Linked DNA regions of Elephas maximus indicus. The protein of the gene in region 2 purifies or fractionates together with the protein of the main gene of each other region. This does not show direct contact. Links are inferred from orthologs where the notes say so. Each region holds a gene or a part of one and is shown on either strand. Other genes may lie near its edges. The genes, in order: PSMG3, PSMB7, PSME3IP1 and FBXO7.

Region 1 (7,356 bases), on a different chromosome or scaffold from region 2:
GCCCCCAGCCATGTTCCACTCCTTTCCCCTCCCAAGGCTGATATCGGTGACCAAGCAAAGTGGAGCCTGCCCGACACCTGAGTATTGTTTCTGGCTTCAAGGGCTCCTGGTTGTGGCTGAAGATGTCTTCCAACCATTGTGAGGGGGCCTGCGTCTTCCCTTGATCTTGGTGAGCAGGAGGGTGGTCGGGCCGTATGGGCCCCCTCACCATACCTGGCATGTCCGAATCACCTCCCGCAAGGCTTTCACCCCCTCCATGCTCCTGTCCTTCACAGCCACGGCCAGGAGAACTGCTTTGTTCCCAGCTTCTTGAGACACGAACGTCACCAGGTTCTTTGCAAAGACGTGGATGAGAGGCTGGTGGAGGGAAGGGGAGGGAACCACTTTAGCAGCAAAGAGCTGGTTTTTTTCCTTAGTGCCTTCCCTAAGTAGCCCTTAGGAGCCCAGATGGGCTTCCCACACCACCATTACATCACCAAGCGTTAAATCTGATGCCACTGTGATTCAGAGTTCAACGCAACGCTCAGAATACACCAGTTGTAAACAAACCACTAAAGAGGTGTCACTAAGCTCACTTCCTTGGTGCCCTCTTCTGAGTCCCCTGTCTCTGCTCGCTGTATCTAACCTCCAAAGACTCAGAAGGACAGGTCTGGAGAGGGGTCCTCTGTTCCAGTTCACAGACAATCTTTCCAGGACAGAGCATGAACAGCCACTCATTAACAGTGTCTATCATGACAGAGTCAAACCAGGAGGAGGCACATACTACAGAATCAATCCTTGCCTGCTGGGTAAGATTCTAACGGGCTGGTACAAGCACTCACCAAGGACAGGTGGGACACCCCTAGACCCAGAAATGCCCACTCATGGCCACCGTAGGGGGGCTAGCCTTCCACCTGTTCCAAGAGCTCATTGAGAAATGAAAGCCACAGAAGAGGATCCCCCTCCGCCCTGGGCCTTTCCCAGCCCTTTTACCTCATCCTGCCCGAGAAGGACTTTGGTGGTAAGCATGGGCTTGCTGATGTCACTAGCCACTTCGCTGGGCTCCAGGGAGACCAGGGTCCCCATCTTCCCAAACTGCGTCACCACCACTAGGATGTGGCTGCTGAAGGCCGTGCACACCACCTGGGTGGGGACGCCACACAACACTTCTCTCCTCTGTTTCGAGACCACCAACGGTTTGTCTTCCATGGCTGGGCGTCTTCTATGGCAGCTTTAGTTAGTGCTAGAAAGAACAACAACAAAAAGGAGTAAGTCAGCCAAACAGGGCCCGAGACACCTTGGGAATCAGAATCCTAAATACGTATCTTTTGGCATTAAAATAGAAACACAAGCGGCTGCCTGCCCATATAGATTGTACCTGGAGTCACTGGATGCTGAACAGTTAACACACTTGACCGCTCAGCTGAAAATCTCCCACTGCCTATATGGGACATCTCTGTGAGTCCACCCAGAGGGACCTCAGAAGAAAAGCCTGGTGATCTATTTCTGAAAAATTAGCCACTGAAAACTACGGAGCACAGATGTACTCTGACACACATGAGGCTGCCACGAGTTGGAACTGACTCTGTAGCAACGGATTGGGGGTTTTGGTTTTAACAACATATATGTATGGCCATATACATAATCTTATAAACATATTAAGGTCCTTGAGTGGTGCAAACAGTTAACGTACTTGGCTGCCAACCAAAATGTGGGGGGTTCGAGTCTACCCAAAGGTGCCCTGGAAGAAAGGCCTAGTGATCTGCTTCCAAGGCGGGAAACCGCTGGCCAGAGAATGAGGCGGGAAACACCCAGACGGCGGCTGGGCAGAGGGAAGCCGCCATATCTCCTTCCTCGCCGCCATTTCCCCTTCCTCACCGCCCCAGTGCAACTGCGCCTACGGATGAGGTCGGTTATCCTCCAGTCCTGATGGACCACGCCCCAGAGCACACCCTGCAAAAGAGCCTGCCCCATTCTTGTTGCCTCCCCATGCCTGCTGATTAGGGAGCCGTCTTGGCGAGGTAGGTCCCAGTGATCTCCTTTGTTTGGCTAACCAAATAGTTTTCCTTCCTTTGCTTTCACCTGACTTGTGCCTCAGTGTCTCCCCGAGCAACACTTCCAATCAATCAGCCATGAGAACTCTATGGAGCACAGGTCTACTCTGACGCACATGGGGTAGCCAGGAGTAAAGAGTTGACAGCAACTGCTTTTTTTTTTTTTTAAATACTGGAATGGAACTTTGTGGATCAGTTGATCAGTAGATGTACACAGGCCACACAAAGAAGCAAATGTCAAAAAGCTTTCATGTTTAGAGGCAGGTGATCTCACTTCCTCCCTGAGCACAGCGTTTCCCGCCCACTTCCAGCCTCCCGCTGGTATGTATTACTTTTATGACTTCCCGCTGATCCTAATGGCACTAATTTAAATCAAGGCAAGGGGGGATTTCCCTCATATCCTTGATACCTGCAAGCAAAGCACCCAGGTGCTCAACAGCCGAGACCAGAACCCCCGCTTTTCTGCTAGTCTGTAGACTGAATTCTCACTTTATCTGCTTTTGGGGACATCACTGGTCCCAAATGGAATTATTGACACCCATATTCAAGGACAAGGAGGGGCAGAGGCATGGAGGGGCAGGCAGAGACCCAAGAGCTAGGCACGGAGAGACACAAAAAGATAAAGGGCAGGGGGAGACTGAGGTGAAGAAGGAGATGCAGGGATAGGGACCCGGGGGCTGGTGTCCAGAAACAAACAATACAGGGATGCGGGTCCAGGGGCGGCGAGAAACAGGGCTGGAGACTCAGACTAGGGGCCGGAAGACCAGGGAGGGATCTCGCCTCGGACTACGACAAGATAGGGGGCCGCAGGGCACCCCCACCCTCCCCAGGGCCCTCGGGGTCGCCTGCCAACCCGCCGGACACCGCCCCGGACCTCCACCCGCTGCGCCACCTGAGCTCACCGGCTCCCGCACCGCGCCCGGAAGTGGCTCAGCGTGTGCGACGAGGGCCCGCCTCCGCCTGGCGCGCCCCGCCCACCCGCCGGCCCGCCCTCCGCTCCCGCCCCCCGGCCCACTCACGGGCCCGCCCATCTCCTCCCACCGCCTCCGCCGGAAGTGCAGGGTGGGGCTTCCGGTGGCTGAGTCGTGAGCCGTTCGGGTCTTTCGGGAGCGTTGTTTGCGTTCTTCATGAAGATCTCTGCTCGGTGCTTTAGACCAGGAGCTGGGGGCGTTAGGGAAGGGCTACGGGGGCCTCAAGTCCCGAGCGTAGGCTGCTCAGCTCCTTGCCCTCGTGAAGGGCTCTTCGATTTCTCTAGAAGGGCATCCTCGGGACCCAGCCCCGCTCTGGTCTCGGGTCGCGGTGTCCTCGGCCGGGGCTCAGGCCCTTGGGAGGGCTTCTCCAGGGCCCTCGTAACAGCCCAGAGAGCTTCTGCCCCGCAGTAACAAAGACACTTTTAGCCTCTCCAGATTGTGCCGGCGCCCCATGCCTCAAAATCTCGTTTGGGGTAACCTGTGTCCACCGCGGTGGAAATAATAACGGATGCTTATTTGGCACTTTTATGTGCCAGGCACTGTTCTGAGTGCCCTGTGTATATTAATTCATTTAATCTTAACAACTCCATTAAAGTAGCAAATGGCTGTTAACCAAGTGGTTGGAGATTTGAGTCCACCCAGAGGCACCTCGGAAGAAAGCCCTGGCCATCTACTTCTTAGAAATCAGCCCTTGAAAACCCTATGGAGCACATCTCTACTCTGATACGCATGGGGATGCCATGAGTCAGAATCCACTCTACTGGTACTTTTATCCCCTTTTTACAGACAGGTTCAAGTTCAGAGAGAGCTTGCCCAAGGCTCTGATAAGAGGTGGCCCTAGGCTTCAAACCCTTACGCTTAGTTGCTGCTCCTCATGTGAGTGCCCAGGTGAAGGAGTAGAATGAATGGAGGGAGGGACATTGCTACCCCCCTAACAGGATGATTTCTGGTTCCTCCCAAGGATCCCTGAAAGTAATTCCTGCCCCCCCGCCCCCACCCCAACTGCTTTATCATCTGTTTCTCCAAGCTGGAGGTTTTATTGGCAGGGTAAGGCAAGGTTTGAGAGGGATTCGAGCCTTGGGACCCTTAGGGGATTAATACTCCAGAACACCATGCTCAGAAGTCTTTCTCTTTCCTGACAGCTCTGTCATGGCTGTATTTGCCTCCCATCAAAGCCTGCGTACCCCACACAATTCCCTAGGGAGCTGTGGCATCCCTAATGCCTTTACACCCTTGTTTTACAATTTAATGTCCTTGTCCAATCCAAGTCAAGTCAAATGAAGCGTGCCCTCTTAAAAATGATGTCTGGTGGCCTAAAATAAAAGGCACGCGTACAGAACATTATTGACAGACATAAAAATCAAGAAGATACTTGTTTTTGAGCTTCCTTACAGTCTGTACACAAAGGGAAAGATGATGATTTCATGGTTCCAATAATCAGAAAGGAAGAAGCATATCAATTTCTCAGAAAAGTGTAAGTTCTTGTTGGTTCTAAATTTAAACACACATCCACCCACACACACCCCAGAAGCAAATTGCCAGTGTATTGCTTTGCCAGTGTGAAACCCTCAAGAGGTCCACTCACGTTTATTCACCTATTTGTGCGTTTTCTCAATAGGCAAATATACACGAGAAACCTGACAAAAACAAATGTACAACTCTAAAATAAACATCACCTTTATGACACTTTGATGGCACTATTAAGCAAATACTCAAAGGCTTGTCATTCTGCTGCTTTTGTCTAGATCTTTGAACAAGACTGAATTTGAGAGATACGGAAGATGGGAAGGCTGTCCTAGACTCAGGTGACGGTGGTTCAGGGAGGTGGCTTCCTGGTGACCTAAACTGATAACGTAAAAAAAAAAAAAACTGATACGTAGGCAGGATTTAAATACTTTGAAGAATGGATGAGGAAATTTTTCTGCTGTTAGACTGTTCTCCAGTGCAAGAGGGTAATTGGGCCAGAAGGAACGATGCCTTCACCAAATTCAATTAAGATGGGAACCAAATTGTAATAGGGTAAATTGTGGAGGAAAAGAGTTTCCTTGAGAGTTTATCATGAAAAATGAAGGAAAAAAGGGAAAATATCTTGATTTTATCTTAACTCAATAAATTTTAGGGTATGAATGCAGTTGTTTTCATTTATATAGCCAACAAAGAATAAATCAAGTGTTGATTTGGGGTGGAGGAATCATAGTTTTTCAAAAAATTGTGCAATAGCTCAATACGCTCTTCTTCACAATGTGTGTGATTTTCCCAGCTCCATCCTATAAAGAGGATTGGTTTTGCTAAACTGTACTAGGGCACCATCAATTTTCTCAACAGCCTCTCTTAATCCATTGACGTTCAGATCATTTCTTGTTGACATGCATCCTGTCATTAGCCTTGTCAGTTTCCTTGGTGTCAGTTGCCCGCCCGTCTAGCATTGCCAACCGGCCCGTAATCACCAGTGGCCCTGGGCTCCATCTCATCATTCCCCAACAACGTATTCACTGGCTTCCTGAAATCTTGCATCTTTGCGACTGATTTGCATTGTACTCCCACCCCATCACACCACCATGTCCAGTTCTTTCAACGTGGGTGGGGAAAAATTCTGGAGCTACACCAGGAGAGATGTTTGAGTGGCGCCTAAGTACGTAAGTGCTGGGTTCATCAGTGAAAATTTTGTATCGGGGATTTCTATGTTCCTCCGAAGTCTCATAACTATGGGGACTCAGATAACTGAATCTTTGGATCGTGAGGATCTCCTGGGTATGACACTTTTGGGATGTTTAAGACTTTGGGTTTCAGAGACGACCTCTTTGGCCTTTACCAGTTCTGTGACTTGGGGCAACTTGCCCTCTCAACCCGTTTCTCAGTTTAAAAATGGAGATAATGCCTCCTTTCTTGATGAAAATCCTCAGGAAGATTGAAATAGAAGGCAAGTTCCTCAATATGATTCAGGTATATATGAAAAACCAATAGCCAATGTTATACTTAATGGAGAAAGATTGAGAGCTTTCCCCTTGAAATTGGGCACAAGACAAGGGTACTCGCTCTCACCCCTTCTATTCAACATTGTATTAGAAGTCCTATCCAGAGCAATATGAGAAGAAAAAGAAAAAAGAGGTATCCAGATCAGAAAAGAAGTAAAATTTGCTCTAAAAATGGAGATAACAATTTTCCCTTCCACATAGGGATAAATGAGGTGGCCCGTGTACAGGGATTCATGCTAGAATATCATAAACTTAGCTATGAAATTTATTATTAGCCAACTCTTCCTTAAATGAATGAAATCCTGCTGCTCTATGGCAGATGAAGAGCAGCTTGAGTACAAATAAATCAACCCTCACAACTTGGAGGGACTCACCCTCAAGGTGCTGTTTTGTGCTCTTGATCCGCGTGGTCTGAACTTCCTAGGACCCACAGGAGCTTCTCTCCAAGCTGCTGGGACGGCGACCTCCAGGATCTCTAGGAGGGCCCCCGAGTCTGCCCTAGTAACAGTCTTGTGGGTGCATGGCCTTTGTTTAAGTCAGACCTTCCCAACATTTCCCTCTAAATTTTGTTGTGATACAGTAATAGGTAGAAAAGACTTTATTTATATAAATGGGAATCATTCTCACTTCTCTCAGCCAGGCTCTGAAACAGAGCAGGTTAAGAGACAGTTGGAGATTACATTGGTGTAGGCCTGAGATATTAGCACCAGTTGCTGTCAACTCCGACTCATGATAACCCCACGTGTGTCAGAATAGAGCTACATTCTACAGGGTTTTCAGTGATTGATTTCTTTAAAATAGGTCACCAACCTTTCTTCCAAGGCACCTCTGGGTAGACTCAAACCTCCAACTGTTTGGCAGGATGGCCACGCGAAGATGCATCTACAAGCTAAGGAACACCAAGAATCACCAGGAACCACTGGAAATTGGAAGAGACAAAGAAGGATTCTCCCTTAGAGCTTTCAGAGAGAGCACAGCCCTGCCGACACCTAAACTTTGGACTTCTGGCCTCCAGGACTGAGACGCAATAAATTTCTGTGGTTTTAAGCCAACCAGTCTGTGGTACTTTGTTATGATAGCCCTAGGAAACTAAGACAGACTGAGTATAAAAAATGGAGCCCACCTCCCACCAAGTCTATCAGTTCTTGCTTGCAGAGTTGCCAAGGTGGAGAAAGACCTACAGAAAGATCCACAGGCAAACAGTTAAGTTTGCACACAATTGCTCAGGCTGGACTTGTAGCTATTCCTGCCTGCTGAGAATTTTATTCTATAATACGAAATAATCCACCCTTATACCGTATCTGTCCTTCTTCCGTCTCCTTGTCTCTTCATTTTTTAGACACCACTTAGATTAAAAAAAAATTTTTTTTTTTTTTA
Region 2 (7,407 bases):
AAGAACAACAAAATATTTGAAAATACACAAGCTATTCACACTAACCAATACTTACTAAATGTTAGGAGATATGAAGTGTATTTTTGAACAGTTCTTGTCAGCAACAACCATTCCTTCAGTTGCCCTTGTATCTGCTCCAAGAACTATGCCATCCTATTGGAGGGAAAAAAAAAGTTTAGAAATAATTTTAGATATATAAACCACAGCTCTCTAGCTTAGGGAAAACAACGTTAGCCATCTCCTGCTCCCCCAACCCCACACCCCCCGGTAAATCTCCTACCAAAAATACTGTGCCACACTTTCAGAGTTCAAGAAAAGGCTCATTAATAAACCTTATTAGTTGAATCCTGAGTAGGTGGTAGGAACCGCCATCCCCATTTTCAGATTTTAAAAATGGGGCTCAGAGATTCAGTGATTTCTTATAAATCACAAAGCTAATCTTGGAAAAGCCTGGATTAAGATCCAGAAATCCTTCCAATAAAAGAGACATCTCTGTCAATTTTTTTTAAATAAGTCATTCTTTACCTTCAACAACAGTAATCATTATCTCTTGACCCTTACAACAATTTAAGGCAGGAGTTATTATCTCCATTTGCTGGATGAGGAAAGGGTGGCTGTGAGAAGTGGCCCAACCAAGGTTGGAAGCAGCACAGAAGCTCAATGAATAAATGTCTGACGCCAAATCTTCGGTTCTCCCATTATATCATCCTGCCTCCTACAGCAGTTAACTTAAAACAAAAAAGCAAGCAAACAAAAAAGACAACAGGGCGTGCTTGTAGCCTGTGCAGACGAAACCACATGATTTGAAGCGGCACTGTAACTGGGTAAAAAGACAGCTCTGACGGAGCACATTATAATGTTCAAAAAGTAAATTAGCATAGAGTTTTAGCCTTGTAGGTATACTGATACATGTAAGCTGGGTTTATGAAAAAATATTTTTGTTGTTACAACCACAGGAATATTTTTACTAAAAAAAATAAATTTCTACTGAAACACTGCACAAAAAATTTACAGACATTTTGGTGTCACCCCCTCTAACACTGTCACTGAGTACAGTCTGCATCCCTTGTACCTCCCCCCCCCCGCCCAGTGATGTCACTGGCCCACGGTTGTCCCAAAGCTGCTGGTTGAGAGGTGGACCAGTAAGCACAGGGGGCCAGACACAACCAAAAAAAGCCACACTGCACCTGACCTGAAGTGACAACACACCTGCTGAAAGAAACACACCTGGTGACTCCTGATCCATGGCGTGCTTGCCCAGTGACACAGAAATGGACATGAGTAATCTGAGAAGGGTAAGCAGGTTCCTCTTCTATGATGCTAAGCAGGGGTACTTGTGGTGGTGGAGGGGACCAGTTCACCTCTAATCTATTGCTGTTCTTTACTGTTTGCTTTCTATAAGTAATCTGTTTCTGTTGTTTTTTTCCTTCTATAAATAATAATGGCTTTCCATTACCAACACTTTGTAAAATGTCTTTTTGTATGCAACCCAACTGGATCAGAGAGTATAGTCCTTAGCCCTAACAGTTTCATGACTGCTTGGGATTTACAGTACAACCTGTGTGTATATACACATGTACAGGTTTCAGATGAAACCTGACCCCTGACTGGTCAATCAATTTTTAATGAATACCTACTATCTGTCAGGTACTATTCTGGCAGTGGGAGCAAATGGTAACTGAAACACAATCCTATAACTTAGTGTTCTAAAATATTTCATGTCAGGTTCACACTGGTCTCATGTGAAGAAAGGTATTGGGATTAAAATGGTACCAACTCACAGAATCCAGACTTCCTGGAGCCATGGAGGCTGGATGATCCCCTGAAACTATTGTCCTGAGGTAATCTTTAAACATTAAATCTTAAACCAAAAATATCCCCTGAAGTCTTCTTAAAACCAAACAGTAATTTAGCTTAACTAGTAAAGAATGTCTGCCTTGAGCATTGTGCTCTTTTAAGATCCAGCCATATGGGATAAAACTGACAACAGCAACTCAAAAGATGAGATAGGAACCTTAGGGGGAAGTGAGTTTATGTTAATGAAAGAGGGAACAACTCGGAAAAGAAGGGTAAGAATGGTTGCACAAAGGGAAGAATGCAATTAACGTCAACGAATTGTGCATGCAGAAATTATCGAATTGGTGTATGTTCTGCTGTATATATCTTAACAACTGAATTTTTTTAAATTATTTTAAAAAAGTAAATTGCTCTCCTGTCAATGACTCTGCAAAGAATGAAAAGAATATGAAGTGTTAACAAACGCACATAATCTAGCGACAAAAGCAATCGCTCCTAAAGGGCCTTTTCCTGATGTACTCTGTAACATCAGCCCTTCCTGATCCAGCAAGGAGAGATCTATATCCTGTTATCAATCCAGTCATTTCTACTCCAGGTTACCTTATAGACCACTCCCGCAATGGTCGTGCCAGTTTTCCGGGCTGCTGGAAGCTTGTAACCTTTCTTTGCAAATTCGGCTTCTAAGAAGGCATTCCTAAGTGCAAAAAAGAAAAAAATGCTTAAGGGCAGGACGACACTGAGCCGCAATGGCAAGAAAAGTACTTAATAGTTAACTCAGGAATAGAAAAACTCTTTCTCGCCCATCTGTTCACTGAATCCTCCCAATATCAGGGATATTGTTCTTTTTTTTTTTTTAAGAAAACCGCCTCAAAGAATGGCCGCGATTCGTCTAAGGAGACGGTGTCCGTGGGAGCTGGAGAGGTGTGAGGGCTAATCCGGCCTCAACAGAAACCCACGCTGAGGCCCAGGTTGCCCTGAGTCACCCGAGCCGCGAGCCGCAGGCCCCGTAGTCTCCCGCACACTCGGTCTTTCCAGATCAGGCCGCGGGAAAGCTCCGACCGGGGCACCGTACTCCCACGTCCGCCCCGGACCCCGACCCGCAAAGGCCGCACCTTCGGCAGTTATCAAAAGAGAAACCTCCAACCGGTCGCTCATACACCGACACAGCCGCCATCTTCCCGAGTAAGCACTTCCGGGCCGAGGGCGGGGACAAACAAAAAGAGCCGAGTACTTCCGGCGCCGCAGGCGACTCGGGCTTAACAGGCGGGTCAACTCAGAGCAAGGACAATTATCTTAGCGTTATTAATTCCTAGACAAGCCCGGAGATATTTGCGATATATCGCCCCCAGTGGCGGGGAGGAGACCCTTATTCCCGGAGCGGGAGAAGGACTTGAACAAGATGAACAGACCAGAGACCAGTCCCCAGCCGCCCAGACCAGACTTGTTTTTATCGTTAATTTAGCTCCGCTGGGCTGAGCCGGATTTGATAAGACGTCAATGGATTTGGGTTTTTTTTTTTTTTTGGGAGCGGGGAGCAGAGGAAAGGAAGGGCATGGGCTTCAGAGACAGACACAACCAGGCTCCAGGCCCAGTCCCACTACCTCCTTGCATTGAGCAAGTCAGCTCCACTCTCTTGTTTCTTCCGCTGTAAAATGGAGATGACACCTACCTCAAAAGACTCTTGTGAAATGGCCAATAAGCACATAAAAAGATGCTGGACATCCTTAGTTATCAGGGAAACACAAATCAAAACCACAGTGAAATGCCACTTTACACATGTCGTTCTTAGGTGCTGTCCAGTTGGCCCTGACTCATAGCGACTGAAGAAAGCACCGGCCAGCTCTGCACCATCCTCAAAATCATTGCTGTGTTTGAGCCCATTGATGTAGCCACTGTGTCAGTCCATCTCACGAGGGTCTTCCTTTTGCGTTGACCCTCTACTTTGCCAATCATGATGTCCTTCTTCTCCAGGGACTAGTCCTTCCTGATACCATATCCAAAGTGCATGAGAGGAAAACTCACCATCCTTGATTCCAAGCAGCATTCTGGCTGTACTTCTTCCAAGATAGATTTGTTCATTCTTTAAGCAAAAAAAAAAAAAACGTTGCCATGGAGTCGATTCTGACTAATAGGGACTCTATAAGACAAAGTAGAACTGCCCCATAGGGTTTCCTAGGAGCAGCTGGTGGAAACCAACTGCCAGTCTTTTGGTTAGCAGCCTAGCTCTTAACCACGGCACCAGCAGGCCCAATGGTCTATTCAATATACTTTGCCAACACCATAATTCAAAGGCGTCAATTATTCCTTCGTCATTCATCCTCCAGCTTTCACATGTGTAAGATGCAATTGAAAATAACATGACTTGGGTCAGGTGTGCCTTAGTCCTCAAAGTGACATCTTTGCTTTTAACACTTTAAAGAGGTCTTTTGTAGCCAATTTCCCCAATGCAATACATCGTTTGATTTCTTGACTGCTGCTTCAATGGGGGTTGATTGTGGATCCAAGTAAAATGAAATCCTTGACAACTTGTATACTTTCTCCATTTATCAGGATATTGCTTATTGGTCCAGTAGTGAGGATTTTTGTTTTCTTTATGTTGAGGTGTAATCCATACAGAAAATCTTTGATTTTCATCAGTAAGCACTTCAAGTCCTTTACACTTTCAGCAAGCAAGGTTGTTACATCTGCATATCAAAGGTTGTTAATGACTCTTCCTTCAGACCTAATGCCGCATTCTTCTTCATACAGTCCAGCTTCTTGGATTATTTGCTTAGCATACAGATTGAATAAGTATAGTGAAAGGATACAACCCTGATGCACACCTTTCCTGATTTTAAACCACACAATATCCCCTTGTTCTGTTCAAACGACTGCCTCTTTTTCTATGCACAGGTTCCTCATGAGCACAATTAAGTGTTCTGGAATTCCCATTCTTCGACATCTTATTCATAATTTGTTATTATCCACACAATCGAATGCCTTTGCATAGTCAATAAAACACAGGTAAACATCTTTCTAGTATTCTCTGCTTTCAGCCAGGATCCTTCTGACATCAGCAATGATATCACCCATTCCACATCCCCTTCTGAATCCAGCTTGAATTTCTGGCAGTTCCTTTCAATGTACTGCTGCAACCATTTTTTTAATTATCCACAGCAAAAATTTTACTTGTGTGTTACATTAATGATATTGTTCAATAATTTCTACATTCTGTTGGCTCACCTTTCTTTAGATTGGGCACAAATACAGATCTCTTCCATTTAGTGCCAAATTTCTTGGCATAGATGAGTGGGTACTTCCAGCGTTACATCCATTTGTTGAAACATCTCAGTTGATATTCCATCAATTCCTGGAGCCTTGTTTTTCACCAATGCCTTCAGCGCAGTTTGGACTTCTTTCTTCAGTGTCATCATTTCTTGATCATATGCTCCCGCCTGAAATGGTTGAACGTCAACCAATTCTTTTTGGTGTAGTGACTCTGGATATTCCTTCTATCTTCTTTTAATGCTTCCTTCATCGTTCACATGCTAACTGGAAAAACCAACCCATTGCTGTAGAGTTGATTCTGACTCATGGTGACCCCATGTGCTTCAGAATAGAACTGTCTTCCACAGGGTTTTCAATTAGAATGGCTATAATACAAAAAAAAAACTAGTGTTACCCATGACGTGGCGGAATTGGAACCCTCATACATTGTTTGTGGGAATGTAAAGTGGTGCAAGTGCTCTGGAAAACAATGTGGTAATTCCTCAAAAAGTTAAATACAAACTTAACATATGACCCAGCAATTCGATTCCTAGGTATATACCCAAAAGAATTGAAAGCATATTGTCTTAGTTATCTAGTGCTGCTATAACAGAAATCCCACAGATGGATGGCTTTAACAAACAAATTTATTCTCTCACAGTATAGGAGGCTAGAAGTCCTAACTCAGGGTGTCAGCTCCAGGGCAAGGCTTTCTCTCTCTGTCAGCCCTGGGGGAAGGTCCTTGTCATCAATCTTCCCCTGGTCTAGGAGTTTCTCAGCCCAGGGACCCCAGGTCCAAAGCACCACCTCTGCTCCTGGCTCTTGTTTGGTGGTAATGAGGTTCCCTCTTCTCTCTGCTCAATTCCCTCTTTTATGTCTCAAAAGAGATTGACTCAAGATACAAGCTGATCCTGTAGATTGTGTCCTACCTCATTAATATAACTGCCTCTAACCCTGAATCAGTAACATCAGAGAGGTTAGGATCTACGACACATAGGTAATTAGATCAGGTCACAAAATGGAGGACGACGAAACAATACTGAGGCTCATGGCCTAGCCAAGTTGACACACATTTTAGGGGGACATAATTCCATGCATAACACATATGTTCACACAAAAACTTGTACACAAACATTCATGGCAGCATTATTCATAATCTCCAAATAGTGAAAACAACCCAAATGTCCATCAGCTCATGAAATGATAAAGTGTGGTATGTCCATTCAATAGACTATTTATTATTTCAGCCCTAAAAAAGAATTAGGTACTGATACGTGCTATCACATGGATGAACCTTGAGAAGATTATGCTAAGTGAAAGAAGCCAGACACAAAAGGCCACGTATTGTGTGGTTCCTTTTATATGAAATGTCCTTAATAAGCAAGTCTTTGGAGACAGAAAGTAAATTAGTGGTTTCCGGAGGCTAGAAGGAGGGCAAAATGGGGAGTGGCTATTTAATGGGTAAAGAGTTTCTTTTTAGAGTGATGAGAATGTTCTGGAATTAGGTAGTTGTGATGTTTGCAGAATATTGTGAATATACTAAAAACCGCTGATTGTACACTTTAAAATGGTTAAAGTGGTGAATTTTATGTTATTTGAATTTTATCTCAATTTTCTCGAAAGGCTGCAGTGGGATTTGATTATACATATAACACACCTATCCTAGTGCATAACAGCTGCTTGAAAATTAGTTATTGAAACAGTCATTTCATTTTGTCAATAACCCAAAGAGGAAGGTATATAATCCAACCAATTTTACTGATGGAAATTGAGGCTCATTGAAGTGAAGTGACTTGCACAAATTTACATAGCAAGTAAATGACAGCCTCAGTGACTGTGGGATGAATTTATTTACTCAAAAAATATTTATTGAGCACCCACTATGTGTCAGGCATAGTTCTAGGTACAAATGAACAAATAGCACTGCAGGTGCCTGGGACCTGTCACCATTACGCGTTCAACAAATATTTGTCAGAGGTTGAATTCCCTTTCATTACCATTCTGGGTCTTTTGTGGGGAATGAGGACAATAAAGCCTTTTCCAGCTGCCGTGATGAAAATCTACTATTGGAAAAGTTTGTCTACCTCCTGTGTAACCAACTTTCTACTTTGGTGAGGGCAAAAAAAAAAAAAAAGAGTAAAAAGATTTGGGACCTGCTCTAAATAAGTCCACTTGCCGATAAGAGATACTTGACACCACAGAATCTAGGAAGGAGGGGTCATAATTTGACATGCCCTGATAATTGTAGAATGAGTGACTGCCTCCACAGCGTTCATCAAACCCTCTTACTGCTGCTCTGGGTTCAGCCTTTGGGGAATAGACACAAAGATGAATCAGAGGTAGTTCCTCCTCTCTTGAGCTCAC
Region 3 (7,662 bases), on a different chromosome or scaffold from region 2:
CAAACTTAAGAGTTTCAACCTGGCACAAAGAAAGAACACAGTTTTCCAAATTTGCTTGACAGCCAAGAAAACAAAGTTCTTATATTTCAAACCAAAGTAACTGTTAAACACTGCACTAGTGTTTGTACTGGAGACGGTGGTATTTAATTTCCAGGTTGGCGGGACAACATGGGCTCGGTGTCTTTCTGACATAGCATGCTACACACATTTTAAAATACAAATCTTACATTACAATCCCTGACTTGAAAAACTATTCCATTTAGCTACTGCCATGACACAAGTTAATGAGATCTGGCTTCCTATGGAATTGAATTTTGTGACGGCAGACTACTTACGAAGTGTTTACATCACTGTCCACCATATATGCCTAATTCTAAAATTATACAGATTGTACATGTAAAAATATACCAGGGGCAATCAGATCTCTGTGTTAACAGTTTTATAAGGCTTCACTTTGGGTACCAAAAACAACAGCCCAATTAACTTTACTTTTGTCAGTAAAGGAAACCCTGGCAGCATAGTGGTTAAGTGCTACGGCTGCTAACCAAAAGGTTGGCAGTTCAAATCCACCAGGCGCTCCTTGGAAACTCTATGGGGCAGTTCTACTCTGTCCTATAGGGTCGCTATGAGTCGGAATCGACTCGACAGCACTGGGTTTGGTTTGGTTTGTCAGTAAAAGGCAGTTCTCTTCCAATGTTTTCAACCTGATGTTCAAGTCACATGGGATTTCAAAATGCAGGAATCTGCTATCTGGCAAACTCAACTATATTCCAAATAAAGACTTTCTGGCCAAAAGGCACTTCTACCAAGCTACGGCAATTTAGATCAAGTTGACTTTTCCTAGAGTATAAAACTTCTTCAGAGAATGACAATCACTAACAGAGAATACTCTTAGCATTTTTCCAGAACTCATCAGGCACTAACCCACAAATTCAAGAAGCCTAACCGAGTCCATGGAGCCATGGTGGCACAGTGGTTAAGAGATCAGCTGCTAACCAAAAGGTCAGCAGTTGAAATCCACCAGCCACTCCTTGGAAACCCTATGGGGCAGTTCTCCTCTGTCCTATAGGGTCACTATGAACTGGAATCCACTGGCCGGCAACAGGCTTGGTTTCTCTTTTTGTTTGTTTGCTTGTTTTTAATGGAGTCCCTGGGTAGTGCAAACTGTTAAGAGCTCAACTACTTGCAGAGAGTTTGGCTGTTCAAACCCACTCTGCACCTCAGGAGACAGGCCTGGTGATATACTTCTGAAAGGTCACAGCCTTGAAAAGCCCTATGGATCATAATTCTGCTCGAACACATGGAATCATTTGAGTTGGAATCACTTGATGGCAATTAACAATACCGAATTGAGTAAAAAAAAATTCACACCTGAATACACCAAAATGGAAAATGCAGAAAACCAAAAATAAAGACACAAAAAAAAAAATCTTAAAAACACATCCTACAGTAAGGAGTTAAACAGATTATATTTAAGAATGAAGACAAAGGTATTCAATCATGAGAACACACTGAAATTGCTTAATTCACCCGAGGCTACGGCTGAACCATGCTCTTAAATTACTTCATTTACCAGATACTTGGTTCTCAATTTCTGAAGCAGCAATTTGACCCTAACCAAACATAAAGATTCTTAGAAGGTGAAAGTGAAGGTTGCTAACCACTTAAATGATTTTCACATAATTCTTCCTTTCTTACAACCATGAAGAATTAATTTCCCCACAGGGTAAAGGCATCAAGACTTCAGTTGAGAGACTCAGGCAGCCTCTGCTTTCTGACCCTTACAAGTTATTAACAGCTCATCTCAGGCTCCATTTGAAAGCCTTTACCAGATGCCTTCAACTCAGCTGATTGCCCTGTATCAAAAGAAGTCTACACGCTCATACTTCCTCTCAAGAATCTCAGAAGCAGCGCTCTCCAAGCCAGTTTATTACGTCCTTGTTAGACACCAATTAATCAAAAAGCCACAGTCAGCAAATCTTACCACGCAACCGGTTGGTACACAAGGGGTAGTTGGGAATTCTGACCACCAGGTCCGAACTTGGCTTTCGGGGGTCTCACTCCAGACCTACTCAGTCAGAGTATCTGGGAGTCGGGCCCGAGAAACTGCATTTTAAGAGCTGTAGACGACCGCTTTCAACTAAAGTTTTAAGAACCACTTTATGAACGAATAGGTCTCCCCCTTTCCTGGCGAGGACTGACATTCCCGTCGCCACCAAGCTCACAGGGGGCCTCAAACGACCCGCTCCAACTCTCAGCCTTCATTTCCTCATCGGCAAAACGGGCACGCTGGTTTGTTTTCTACTAGAAAATGCACTTCGCACAGCAACTGGCACATGGTATATAAGAAATATGCTGCCCATCCTGAACGTCCATTCTGTGATTCAATCATTTCCAACCAGGCGTCCCCACATCTCCTGAGCAGCCTGGAGCGGTTCCAAGCCCTCGGGAGCAAAGCCCGCTTCCCACTGGGGACTGGATGGCCCCATCTAGCAGCAAAGGTGGAGGGGAGCCGCAAGTGGCCCGGGATCCCGGACTCATCTCTAAGGGTCGGGGAGCCTCCCTACACGAGCCAGACGCCTTCTCAGACTGGACTCAGCAGGCCCCCGACCTCGAGGACTCAGGACACAGGGCTAGCCGAGCGCACTGGGGGCACAGGCCTGGCCCTAATCCTAACCTCAGCCGCAACATCCCGTCTCCTCAGCGAAGAAACTCGAGCCCAGGTTTAGTTGCCTGGAGGGGGCCCAGGCCACACTCACCTACCCACACGCGGGAGGCGAGACTCTCACCTCAGCAGCGCCCACCCCAAACCGCCACCGCAAAGGCCGCTCGCTGTTTAAAAAAAAAAAAGAAAAAGAAAATAGCCTTTGCTTTTGTATTTTTTTTGACCCTTCAGGGCTTCCTCTTCCTCACCTACAACAAAGTTCCGCCCCGCTTCCGGCAGCGTAGCCCAATCCGCAGCTCTCTTCCTCCGCGAGAGACAGATGGAAATCCGCTGGCCCCGAAACGAGTCGGGGGACTTGATTGGACCACTCACACTTCGACAAGCGGATTGGCCAGCTCACGCCTGGGGGGCGGACAGGGCAGTATCCTCACGTGACTTAATCCCTGAAAGATGATTGGCTATGATGGAGAGGGCCTGCCACCGAGGAAGGGGCGTTTCCTAGGGGACTGAGGGAGGGCCGGGGCGGTGCGAGGCGGGGGTGGGCCCAGTGCGTAATGGCAGCGCCTTGGCCTCGCGTCCATCTTTATCGCTCTCTGGGACCTGTCACAAAGGAGTCGCGCCGCCGCCGCCCCCTCCCCCCGGTGGGCCCGGGAGCTGGAGAAAGTCAGTGCCGCAGCCCGGCCGCGCTGCTCCGGCAAGCCCCTGGGGACGCGGAGCGGGGGGACAGTCCGAGGGCTGGGGACGTTCGTGAGGGACGGGAACAGCCGGCCAAACCTCGGGCGGGGTGGCCGGACTTGGGCCGGGGGAGGCTCCGGGAAGGGACCTGGGAGGAGGTAGCTTTGGGCAGAGCCCGGGAAACAGCCCGGAGGTTCTCCGCCAAGGCCCGCGCTGAGGGCGCCTGAAGACATTCCTGCAAAAGGGTGTTCCCCCTTTGGGGGATCTTTACCGGAGGAGGTTCTTGGGGGTCGCTCTTCTGAGGAGGCCGCGGTTAAAGGGACCCAGGTGAGAGGCAGGTAGCTTCTGGGGAGACTCTTGGGACTGAGGGACGCCCCGTTGGGGTGTCTGGGTCGGAAGAGGTAGATTTGGGAGGGTTCTCTTTTGTGGAGTTCGTGTTTTAGGGGGTACAGTTGGGAGACAGACCTCCCCCAGGGAGACTTCGAAATGGCTTGAGGTCTAGAGACACCTCAGAGAGAGGGGCAAGGAGGCGGGAGCCAGGGCTAACGGATTCTTCTACTCCGGTGGCCCGAGTTAAAAATTGGGGAAGGGCGTTGGGGTGGGGGGGTTTCCGGGAGCTTCTGGGAAGTGGAGCCTCCTTCCCCCCCTCCCTCCCATAGGAAAGCCTGGGTAGGAGAGAAGCAGGAGTGGGAAGGGTACCTTCCCTCTCTCTGGAAGACCGACCAAGTGTCCCAGATAGAAGATTCAGCTGGTTCTGGGCTTAGTGCGGGGAACCCATCCCGCCAGCACCCTCTGTCTGATTTGGACTAAACAAATCTTCCCCTTTGGCTCAGTTTCCCTGTCTTTGATGAGGGAGACAGGCAGAGACGGTCTGCTGAGACTCTGTGGACAGTGGTGTCCCTGTCTGAGGTTGCTCCCCCTGCAGTGTTGTACTTCGAACTTCTAAGGGTCGGAAGTGTTTATTATTGACTGAGTAGAAAACCAAAACCAAACCCGTTACCGTCAAGTCGTTTCCGACTCATAGCGACCCTATAGGAGACGGTAGAGCTGCCCTATAGAGTTTCCAAGGTGGATTTGAACTGCCGACCTTTTGGTTAGCAACTGTAGCTTTTAATCACTGCACCACCAGGGTTTCCAGGCTGAGTAGAGTCCTGTCGTTTTCCAGGCCCCTCACCTACCATTTGCTGTCCTTATACAAGTGACTTACTCTCAATCTTTTTGAGTCTCTTTGTAAAATATGCAGTGCGTGAAAATATGAGCTACAGGCTGTATGGAAGCAAGGTATTGTGGTTCCACCACCAAACGGGTTGCTGTTGGGAATAAAATGAAGGCACTTTCTTAACTGTAAAGCAGTATATAGGATGGATGTAATAGATCAGTATTAATACAGTTGTTACTGATCACCTATGGAGTAGTGGGGAGCCATATTGTACTGAAAACTTTAAGGTTTGCAGCTCGTTAGGCTATATTATAATCTAAACCCATGATTTCAGCCTCTGTTTAGATGGGAGTGGAGGGATTTCCAGTTCTCAGAGTTTTAATTTACTTTGCCTGTCTGATGGTGCTGGCAGGAGTTGGCACTGTAATAAATCTTTTCCTTCAGTCAGTTTTTCCCTGACAGTTGAGATTTTCCTCTAGGTAATTTGATCTCAATATCATAAACCTTATCCCTTCTCTCTTCTATATTCATGGTCTTTGGATGTCTACGGATAGTGATTATCATGCTGCCTTCCTCAATTGTGATTTTGTGACTGAGACCATCTTTTTTTCTCCATGAGTATCATGCCTTGCTGTGGTAGCCCCATACCATAGATTACGAGGACATTGGCAATCGATCTTATATCTCTTCCACAATGGTTCTCTTTACTTCGTTTTTCCACCTTGTGTAGAGTTTGCATTTCCCGGGATGACATCTTGCTTTGTGGATCCCTCGACGAGGTTACAAGATACTTGTTTCCATATATGACATTCCCTTAATGTTTGGTTAGTGGCATTTGTTAGGGCTGGCTTTTCAAATATTGGCTAATTTATTTAGTGATTTTTTGTTTTAATAGTTGCTTTGGTTTTTTAGCAAAAAACTGACCTGCATTTATCATTTTTCTAGTCTTATATTCCATGGTCCTTAAAAAAAAAATCATTGGGGTGATTTTGATAGCTTTCTGATTTCTCAGGATACATGTTATCCCCGACCTACTGATCTAGTGTCTTTTTGTGCCCTGCTTTTTTGCTGGTTTCACAAACTCATTATTTCAGTTCCCTGTGATTATTTTTAAGGTATTGATTATAGGAAGTGTTCCAGCATACTCTATGTGGGCTTTTTCTACTTCGTCAGCAAGATAACTTCTCATTAAGTAAATTGGCCAAGTATTTAAGGGAAAATAAGAACTTAGCATCTTGTGTAATAATGTTATTCTATCGTGAACAGGAAAAAACAACTCTGAAGTATATTTTCGCAAGAGCTTAACAAAAAAATTATTGTTGTGCGTTTACAACAGTCTCTTTCAACTGAATGAGCTTAATTCAGCCTACCAAGAATTGTGTATGCTTTCCCAAATAATGAAGTAATTTGTTATAATGAAGTGAGAAGTCACTTTGCCATCTTTAACTTTCTTTGACATTCTAATATTTATATAGTTGGAGAAATTATTAGGACTTTTTTGAAATGGTAATCAGTATTATACTACTTCAAATTGGAAATTTTCTGTGTTTTGTGGTGGGGTCCTTTTAAAGTAGGATCTCATAGTCACCGAGTTGCAAAAGTAAGTGGAAGGTCAATAGGCACCATAGATGGGAACCACAGTGCAAGCAATAATCTACTTCAAAAGAGTTATTTGACTTAGCTTTTCTTCAGGCTTTTGGCATTTTGAAGGCATTTACCATTGAATTAGGGTCGTTCCCCATACCCCCATATTCAAATTAGATGATTGAAAAACAGAATAGTCAAGTGAATGCCAAAGAAATGAATGCCAAAACTTGAGCCACAACACTTAGGAGAAGACTCTTACAACTTTAAGGTGTGAAAGAATAAATATTTCCCCTTTGGTTTATTTATTCAGGAAGTCAGTTTTTGAAATCATTTTCTGGCCAACCTTTATGATTAACAAAAAAGTACGTATTTGTTATGTATTACTATAATGCCCAATCCAAAAGGAAATGTTTGCTGGTTATTATGTAAAAGCAATAACCGTGTGACAGATACAAGACTAAATCAGGTAAAAATACTTTGAGAAAATTTTACATTGTTCCTTTCCAAGGTTTTAAAAACTATAAATAATGTGAGATAGCAAGAAATTGATTCCCTAAATTTGTTAAGAAATAAATTCTGCAGGTAGCTTTCTTATTGCTAGAAATTACAGTTTCTAGACTTAATTTCATGAAACCTCTATACCTCGAATAAAAGTTTTGAAATACTTAGGAAGTTTATTATTACCTCTTAGTTTTGTTTTTCATTGTTAGTTTTTTCTTCCTCCCACCCCTCCCGCCAGTCCCCAAGAGTTAAGCTTCCGCCCCTGTAGTCCCTTCATGCAGTGGTTCTCAAAGTATGGTTCCTACCCCACCCCTCTTCATGGGAAATGCAGCTTCTTTTTTTTTAAGTTCCTATTGCTTTATCGTTATTCGTATATCTGTACATCTAAGGGCTACTTACCAAATGAATCATTAAGGATTTGCTAAAACATGGCATTCATAAACCAAAACTGCCACAATATTAGAGTTTACTGACATCTCTATTACATTTTCTCCCAGGAAATCTGTCCTGGGAAGCTTGGCACCAGTGCCCCTCACAGGTCATCTACAGAGTGCGGATTCCTGCAACATCCAGGAAGAGTGCTTAGTTTGTGGTGAATCATCAGTATTGTCTCAAATTGATCTTGGTTTTCCATTTTTACTCCACATTTACTCTTGTTTTTTTCATTAAAATTACTATTCAGCATCGTCTGATTTACAGGTGGTTGGTTAATCTTTCTGGAGTTCCTGAGTGGTGCTGACAGTTAATGCACTTGGCTGCTAATTGAAAGGTTAGCAGTTCAAGTTCACCCAGAGGCTCCTCAGAAGCAAGGCCTGGGCATCTAATTCCAAAAAACCAGTCAGTGAAACCCTACGTAGCACAATTTCTATGCTGACACACATGGGATTGCCACGAGTCAGGATCAACTCAGTGGCAACCGGTACTGGTGCCTCATCTTTCACTGCGTCAGCAGAAAGATTTGGACCAATAGTATTTTGGCTTATAAGTTAAGACATGAATGTGTTGCAGTACAAATATAAATTCTCCATTCCCTTTTGCTAATACTGGTATATATACAAAAAACAAAACCTTTTGC
Region 4 (7,626 bases), on a different chromosome or scaffold from region 2:
GACAGCTAGCATACTTTGGTTCCAAAACCTAGACCCATGTCCTTCATGCATATTCATAACCATAAAAGTTAGACGAGCGTATGTAGTTGACAGAGTACAAATGTATCCCCTCGACCAGATGATGACAAGTTGCAACCCTCCTACTGAGAACGTGTTGTCTTTTATACAGAAGACAGCAGAAAACCAAAAACTCACTGCTAAACCAATTAAGAGCTCAAATAAACCTTAGGCAACGCATTTGCATTGTTTCTGCATCACAGATTATCTGACTTTGTAAGGATAACCATCTTTTCATCACAGGGTGGTGAGGAATTAACAAAACCATTGTAAAAGGTTTTGTAAGACCATTTACACTCAGGAATGCTGATTTCATTAACTTTTTGAGACATTAACAAAGGATAAAGTCCTTTGACAATCACATTGTATTTTCTTATTTACAATGCTGCACTTTCCAAAGTGCTCAAAACAATTCATTTGTTTTCCTTTTGACTGTAAGTACATTTTTTTCTCACCAATTAAAAAGTCTTTGGTAGAGAAATTACTGAAATAGAAACGACCCCTGCTTCTCAAAAAAAAAGTAGCTCTGCTTCTGTTTTCAAAGTGTTTTTGATAAAATGTTGAAACTCTGCCAGCTGCCCAAAAAACACCATCCCAGCTTTGGCAGAAAAAGGAAAAACATCTCAAGTGAACTATATTTGTTTCTGGATCATTTGTCACAGCAAAAGGTTTTTTTTTTTTTTAACAGTATCAAGTACAAATATCTATTTGTAGAAAAGGCAAAGAACTGTCTGCTTAATAAAGAACATCGGCCTCTTCACCCTTTAAAAAAGGGAAGAGCTATTTCTAAAACAAAAAATGCAGTTTTCTAGGAAGAGGGTTTAAAAGGGTTGTTTTCTGAAACTGTTCTGTTTTCTGAACTTAAATTTTAAGTTCATCAAAAAATGAAATCCTAGAAACTCCCAAGCTTTTTCAAAATACTTTTATGACAATCCCAAATCCACTCGCTCAGTAAAGACACTTTAAAATAACAATGTGCTATGTACACCTTTTAAAACTACCCATTTACTAGAAAATGAACAGACTTTCAGAAGGATGAATTCACTTTTGTAAGGTGCAACTTAAATTCCTTTCTGTAAATCAGCCTCCACTGTAAAAAACAAACCTGAAAGAGAAATGAACTTCAGCTCTTGGCAAATAAGAGTCATATTGGGGCAAACAAGTCATATTGGGTTTCACATTCTTTTAAGATTATCCTGCCTAATTAAAAACTAATAATAAAAATATATATACATATGAAAATGCCTTGAAAAGAAGTTAATTTTGAAATGAGGGCAGTAAGCAAAACACTTAGGTTTAAGGCAAAGAAAATAATGATGGGCACATAACTGAAGAGAAATTATGTTCATACCTCTTTTTAAAAAAAAAAAATTGGGAGGAAAACATGCTTACTTTTAATGTAATAATGTCTTAACCTTAAAAAGGGAAGAGTGAGAAGATCATAATATGGCCCCACTTTACGGAACTCCCTAAAAACAAATTGGAAGCTTACAACAGTCTTATGAAAGGAACCATTTCAATTAACAAGGTTGTCTCTTGAAAAATTCACCTAAAACGTCCCCCAGGGAACGACTTTATTTTGTCTTAGCTCAAATTTCAAGTTCATTACCTCAATATTTGAAAAGAATCACCTTTATTTTGTCCTCTATTCCCAGATTATTGTCCCAGAAAACACCTTCTATGGAAACAAAACAGCCTCATCAGTAGCCCCATAAATTAACAGAATTTAACGCTTTACCTCTCAACTTCACTGTCCTAACACTGCCAAGTTCCCCAGGGTCATTATAAGGCCCTAAGTTTTAACACTTTATTGCCCAGGACAATACAATGATGTCAAGCACCTCTACAGAGTGTACTTTGTGAAAATTTGCAGCGAGGTAAGTGCAAGTGCTCACCAAGGGGCCTGGCACAGAAACTCAAGGTAGTCTTAAAATGACTGCAGCCTGACAGCAGCCGCACCAGTTAAGGGTGGCTTCGGGTGGAGAGCAGGTTTGTAACTTCTAGTATTCCCAAACCTTTCACTGAAATATTGAACAGGTGCAGAAAGTGAACTTAAACCCCTAGAGTCTGGAAATGTTTAAGCCATGCCAAGCTCATCAGTTCCAACTTTAAATTTAAAAATCCTGTGAGTTCTGCGTGCTATCCTATCCGTGGTTTCGTTTGCCATAAAATCGGAGTCGGTTACTTACCCTGCGGGGGATCGGAGCCCCCGGGACGCTGCGCCATGGGTCCTCGCAGCTGGGACAACCGCAAAAGCAGCCGCAGCTCCCCACTCCCAACCCGACGCGCCACCCGGACACTGGCCCCGAGCCCGCCCTAGTTCCAGCCCCAGAAGCGCTCCCGAACGGCGACGCCCCCAGAACGCAGAGCCCTCACGTGACGCCCGGGGCGTCTCTGCACCCTGGCGGAGCGCTCAGTGACGCCGGTGCCAACAGGCGACCCCAACCTCACGGCGCCCCACATGGGGACCCACGCTCCCGAGAGCGCACAGTCGCACGCAAACACCCGACTTACACCCTCACTTCTCCTACCGTACACCCCCAACGCCCGCGGCCGGGCTGCACCCCCAGCCGCCCCCGCGTACCTGTACCCCCAAGTGGGCAACAAGGCCTGGCCCAGATGCGCGCGCAGCTGCCCCAGCGTCGGCTCCGCTTCCGACATCTCCAGCGGCCAGGTCCGCTTCTGAAGCCGGACCCGAAGCTTCATGGCCGCGGCGGGGGTACCCAGGGGCTCGGACCCGGGGGCGGCGACAGTGGCGACGGCGGGGCCCAGCAGCTCCCGCCTCAAGCGGAGACCCAGGAGCGACAACTACCGGTGTTGTTAAAGTGCTGATGTGTAACGGGTAAAAGTCGCCGCCACGGCGGCCTAGGCCTAGCTCGCTAGTCCCTAAAACAAGGGCGCTCTGTCCCTCCTATAAGGGCGCCCCCTAGAGCCGACCCGCAGAGCGAGCAGCTGGCGACCAGCGCCGAGCCCAGCTGCAAAGGACCTTCCGATCGATGACTCGGCGCGCTACGCCGCTACCTGGGAGCGCGCGGCTTCCGGGCCGCCCGGGCGCCGCGGTCCAAGCTGACGGCGCGGAAGGAGGAGCGCGCTGCGCAGGCGCCCAGACGTCGGGGTGCGCTGGTACCCCGGCTCTTCCGCAGAGGCTGCTTTCTGACGTCTGAAAGGTGTGCTGGGAAGAACGTTATTGCTGAAAGGGATGCTGCGGACCGTACAACTCACCACGCCCCATGGCTTATGGGTACCTAGTTCTTACCCATTTCCTGCGTGGCGAACGACTGTTCCTTCATCAACGCCCAGTTCTAGTGGCACCTGCTCTGAGAAGCCCTTAGATTGAACCCCGGCTCCGGTAACTTCCTCCTTTTGTGCTTCCGCAGGGCTGTGTTCAAAAAGAATTAAGGGGAATAATGTATGGCAAACCACTGAGTATTGTCATAATTGGTCTCCCCAGTTACTGTGTTACATCACGCAGTTTCCTTCTTAGAGTTCATCAAAATCTGAATTTTTCTTTTTAATTGAAAATTAACTAATTGTTATTGTAACAGTTACTAATTGTTCGCCTACCACAGGCGAAGCTCCTGCCTGTAAGATCAAGGATCAAGTCTATCTTGTTCACCACGCGTACGTTGTTGTTGTTGTTTGTAGGTGCCCTGGAGTCGATTCCGACTCATAGCGACCCCTGTGCACAACAGAACGAAACACTGCCCAGTCCTGCACCATCCTTACAATCCTTGTTATCCTTGAGCCCATTGTTGCAGCCACTGTGTCAGTCCACCTCGTTGAGAGTCTCCTCTTTTCCGCTGACCCTGTACTTTGCCAAGCATGATGTCCTTCTCCAGGGACTGATCCCTCCTGACAACATGTCCAAAGTATGTAAGACGCAGTCTCGCCATCCTTGCCTCTAAGGAGCATTCTGGCCGCACTTCTTCCAGGACAGCTTTGTTCGTTCTCCTGACAGTCCATGGTATATTCAATATTCTTCGCCAACACCACAATTCAAAGGCATCAGTTCTTGGTCTTCCTTATTCATTGTCCAGCTTTCACATGCATATGATGCGATATGAAAATACCATGGCTTGGGTCAGGCCCACCTTAGTCTTCAAGGTGACATTTTTGCTCGTCAACACTTTAAAGAGGTCCTTTGCAGCAGATTTACCCAATGCAATGTGTCTTTTGATTTCTTGACTTCTGCTTCCATGGCTGTTGATTGTGGATCCAAGTAAAATGAAATCCTTGACAACTTCAACCTTTTCTCCGTTTATCATGATGTTGTTCATTGGTGCAGTTGTGAGGGTTTTTGTTTTCTTTATGTTGAGGTGTAATTCATACTGAAGGCTGTGGTCTTTGATCTTCATCAGTAAGTGCTTCAAGTCCTCTTCACTTTCAGCAAGCAAGGTTGTGTCATCTGCATAACTCAGGTTGTTAGTGAGTCTTCCTCCAATCCTGATGCCCTGTTCTTCATATAGTCCAGCTTCTCGGATTATTTGCTCAGCATACAGATTAAATAGGTCTGGTGAAAGAATACAACCCTGACGCACACCCTTCCTGACTTTAAACCAATCAGTATCCCCTTTTTCTGTCCCAACAACTGCCTCTTGATCTAAGTAAAGGTTCCTCATGAGCACAATTAAGTGTTCTGGAATTCCCATTTGTCGCAATGTTATCCATAATTTGTTATGATCCACACAATCGAATGCCTTTGCATAGTCAATAAAACACAAGTAAGCATCCTTCTGGTATTCTCTGCTTTCAGCCAGGATCCATCTGACATCAGCAATGACATCCCTGGTTCCACGTCCTCTTCTGAAACTGGCCTCAATTTCTGGCAGTTCCCTGTCGATATACTGCTACAGCTGCTTTTGAATGATCTTCAGCAAAAAATTTTGCTTGCCTGGGATATTAATGATATTGTTCTATAATTTCCACATTCAGTTGGATCACCTTTCTTGGGAATAGGCATAAATATGGATCTGTTCCAGTCAGTTGGCCAGGAAGCTGTCTTCCATATTTCTTGGTATAGACGAGTGGCCACCTCCAGCGCTGCATCTGTTTGTTGAAACATCTCAACTGATATTCCATCAATTCCTGGAGCCTTGTTTTTCACCAATGCCTTCAGAGCAGCTTGGACTTCTTCCTTCAGTACCATCAGTTCCTGATCATGTGCTACCTCTTGAAATGGTTGAACATCGACTAATTCTTTTTGGTATAATGACTCTGTGTATTCCTTCCATCTTCTTTTGATGCTTCCCATGTCGTTTAATATTTTCCCCATGGAATCCTTCACTATTGCAACTCAAGGCTTGAATTTCTTCTTCAGTTCTTTCAGCTTGAGAAACACCGAGCGTGTTCTTCCCTTTCGGTTTTCCATTTCCAGCTCTTTGCACACGTTATTATAATACTTTACTTTGTCTTCTCAAGCCACCCTTTGAAATCTTCTGTTCAGTTCTTTTACTTCATCACTTCTTCCTTTTGCTTTAGCTGCTCAACATTCAAGAGCAAGTTTCAGAGTCTCCTCTGACATCCGCCTTGGTCTTTTCTTTCTTTCCTATCTTCTCAATGACCTGTAGCTTTCTTCATGTATAATTTCCTTGATGTCATTCCACAACTTGTCTGGTCCTCAGTCACAGTTGTTCAGTGCATCAAATCAATTCTTCAGATGGTCTCTAAATTCAGGTGGGATATACTCAAAGTCGTATTTTGCCTATCGTGGACTTGCTCTGATTTTCTTTAGTTTCAGCTTGAACTTGCATATGAGCAATTGATGGTCTGTTCCACAGTCGGCCCCAGCCTTGTTCTGACTGACGATATTGAGCTTTTTCATCGTCTCTTTCCACAGATGTAGTCATTTTGATTTCTGTGTGTTCCATCTGGCAAGGTCCATGTGTACAGTCGCCGTTTATGTTGGTGAAAGAAGGTATTTGCAATGAAGAAGTTGTTGGTCTTGCAAAATTCTGTCATTCAATCTCCAGCATCATTTCTGTCCTCAAGGCCATATTTTCCAACTACTGATCCTCCTTCTTTGTTTCCAACTTTCGCATTAAAATCACCAGTAATTATCAATGCATCTTGATTGCATGTTCGATCAATTTCAGACTGCAGCAGCTGATAAAAATCTTCTATTTCTTCATCTTTGTCTCTAGTGGTTGGTGCGTATATTTGAATAACAGTCCTGTGAACGGGTCTTCCTTGTAGGTGTATGGATATTATCCTATCACTGACAGCATTGTACTTCAGGATAGATCTTGAAATGTTCTTTTTGACGATGAATGAAATGGAACGCATAAACATCGATATTCTAGGCATTAGTGAACTGGGATGGACTGGTATTGGCCATTTTGAATCGGACACCTGTACATATTATGCCATAAATAAATATAAATAAATAAACATTTGTGGTGCATGTGATAAGTGCTAACAGCAGGAGTATGTACATGATATGGAGTTGATTAACTGGGAGTGACACTTAAACTGCATTTTAAAGTATAACTAGGAATTTCCCAAGCTTAACAAAAGCAGGATTGAGCAATAGAGAGAGAAGAGTATACAAAGGTGGGGAAAGGTTAAATGGCATGCATATTCAGGGTAGCAGTAAGTTACAGAGCTGAAGACTTATGGGCTATTGAGAACGCTGTGTTGTAATTGTTGGGATTACTTGCTACTCAATACATTGTAGGTGCCTGAGATTGGAGACTGAATCTCAGCCCTGAGACAGCATCTGGGCTTGGAAGATGCTCAATAAATGCGTTCTAAATGAAGGAAAGAATTAATGAATGAACCCAATGGTTCTTAGGACTTTGTGCGAAGGAAATTAATCATCTAGAGCTTATGTGAAAGGACAACATACACAACAGATAAACTCTATAAGGGGTGATGGGCTGAGATTCACTCCTTAACTTCCCAAGCAGTGAGACTCAGCAGTATGAAATTTGGACATCTGACTTACTCATTTTCTAGACTCAAGGCCCACCGTGAGAAGTTCACAAAGTGATGGACAAAACAGTAACCCATAACACAGTAGATTGTGATAAAATGTTTAAATTATTTTCAATTTAGAAACCCCATCAGTTCGGTCAAAACCTGTGCTTAATCACCTGTTCCTGTTGTCAGCTGCTACTTCAAACAGCAATAGCAGCTGTTAACAGACTGAGCCCCAGTTTTTCTAGGACCACTTATAAAAGGTTTCGTGAAAGCTTCCTTGCCAAGCACTATGTGGGATGCTTTTCACATAATTTCATTTAGACTTTATAGCTCTGGAAAATGGCCGTTCTTTTTTTAATATATATATATGTACTTCAGATGAAGGTTTATAGAGCAAAAACCAAACCCATTGCCACTGAGTCGATTCTGACTCATAGCGACCCTATAGGACAGAGTAGAACTGCCCCAGAGAGTTTCCAAGGAGCACATGGCAGATTTGAACTGCCAACCTTTTGGTTAGCAGTCGTAGCACTTAACCACTACACCACCAGGGTTTCCATATAGAGCAAACTGCTTTCTAAATAAACAGTACACATACTGTTTTGTGACATTGGTTGCCAACCCCACAACATGTCAACATTCTCCCCTTCT

What was found.
Region 1: the proteins of PSMB7 (region 2) and PSMG3 purify together in Homo sapiens (affinity purification with mass spectrometry; 3 studies listed by BioGRID and IntAct, counting the BioPlex papers as one, with this or other methods). This does not show direct contact. The link is inferred for Elephas maximus indicus from reciprocal best matches to the Homo sapiens genes PSMB7 and PSMG3.
Region 3: the proteins of PSMB7 (region 2) and PSME3IP1 purify together in Homo sapiens (co-immunoprecipitation; 3 studies listed by BioGRID and IntAct, with this or other methods). This does not show direct contact. The link is inferred for Elephas maximus indicus from reciprocal best matches to the Homo sapiens genes PSMB7 and PSME3IP1.
Region 4: the proteins of PSMB7 (region 2) and FBXO7 purify together in Homo sapiens (affinity purification with mass spectrometry; 3 studies listed by BioGRID and IntAct, counting the BioPlex papers as one, with this or other methods). This does not show direct contact. The link is inferred for Elephas maximus indicus from reciprocal best matches to the Homo sapiens genes PSMB7 and FBXO7.

What each region holds. Positions count from the first base shown.
Region 1 is NC_064830.1:95,893,870-95,901,225, forward strand, and holds the start of PSMG3 (proteasome assembly chaperone 3), read right to left. Parts: upstream 3,005-7,356; 5' UTR 2,926-3,004; intron 1,223-2,925; 5' UTR 1,189-1,222; coding exon 973-1,188; intron 358-972; coding exon 205-357; 3' UTR 1-204. UniProt on the Homo sapiens protein: Chaperone protein which promotes assembly of the 20S proteasome. May cooperate with PSMG1-PSMG2 heterodimers to orchestrate the correct assembly of proteasomes.
Region 2 is NC_064827.1:75,453,191-75,460,597, forward strand, and holds the start of PSMB7 (proteasome subunit beta type-7), read right to left. Parts: upstream 3,017-7,407; 5' UTR 2,972-3,016; coding exon 2,910-2,971; intron 2,492-2,909; coding exon 2,398-2,491; intron 154-2,397; coding exon 56-153; intron 1-55. UniProt on the Homo sapiens protein: Component of the 20S core proteasome complex involved in the proteolytic degradation of most intracellular proteins. This complex plays numerous essential roles within the cell by associating with different regulatory particles.
Region 3 is NC_064839.1:24,134,104-24,141,765, forward strand, and holds the start of PSME3IP1 (PSME3-interacting protein), read right to left. Parts: upstream 3,003-7,662; 5' UTR 2,914-3,002; intron 2,896-2,913; exon of another isoform or gene 2,760-2,895; intron 2,701-2,759; exon of another isoform or gene 2,678-2,700; intron 1-2,677. UniProt on the Homo sapiens protein: Promotes the association of the proteasome activator complex subunit PSME3 with the 20S proteasome and regulates its activity.
Region 4 is NC_064822.1:175,190,456-175,198,081, reverse strand, and holds the start of FBXO7 (F-box only protein 7), read right to left. Parts: upstream 3,007-7,626; 5' UTR 2,764-3,006; coding exon 2,642-2,763; intron 2,362-2,641; exon of another isoform or gene 2,284-2,361; coding exon of another isoform or gene 2,247-2,283; intron 1-2,246. UniProt on the Homo sapiens protein: Substrate recognition component of a SCF (SKP1-CUL1-F-box protein) E3 ubiquitin-protein ligase complex which mediates the ubiquitination and subsequent proteasomal degradation of target proteins and plays a role in several biological processes such as cell cycle, cell proliferation, or maintenance of chromosome stability.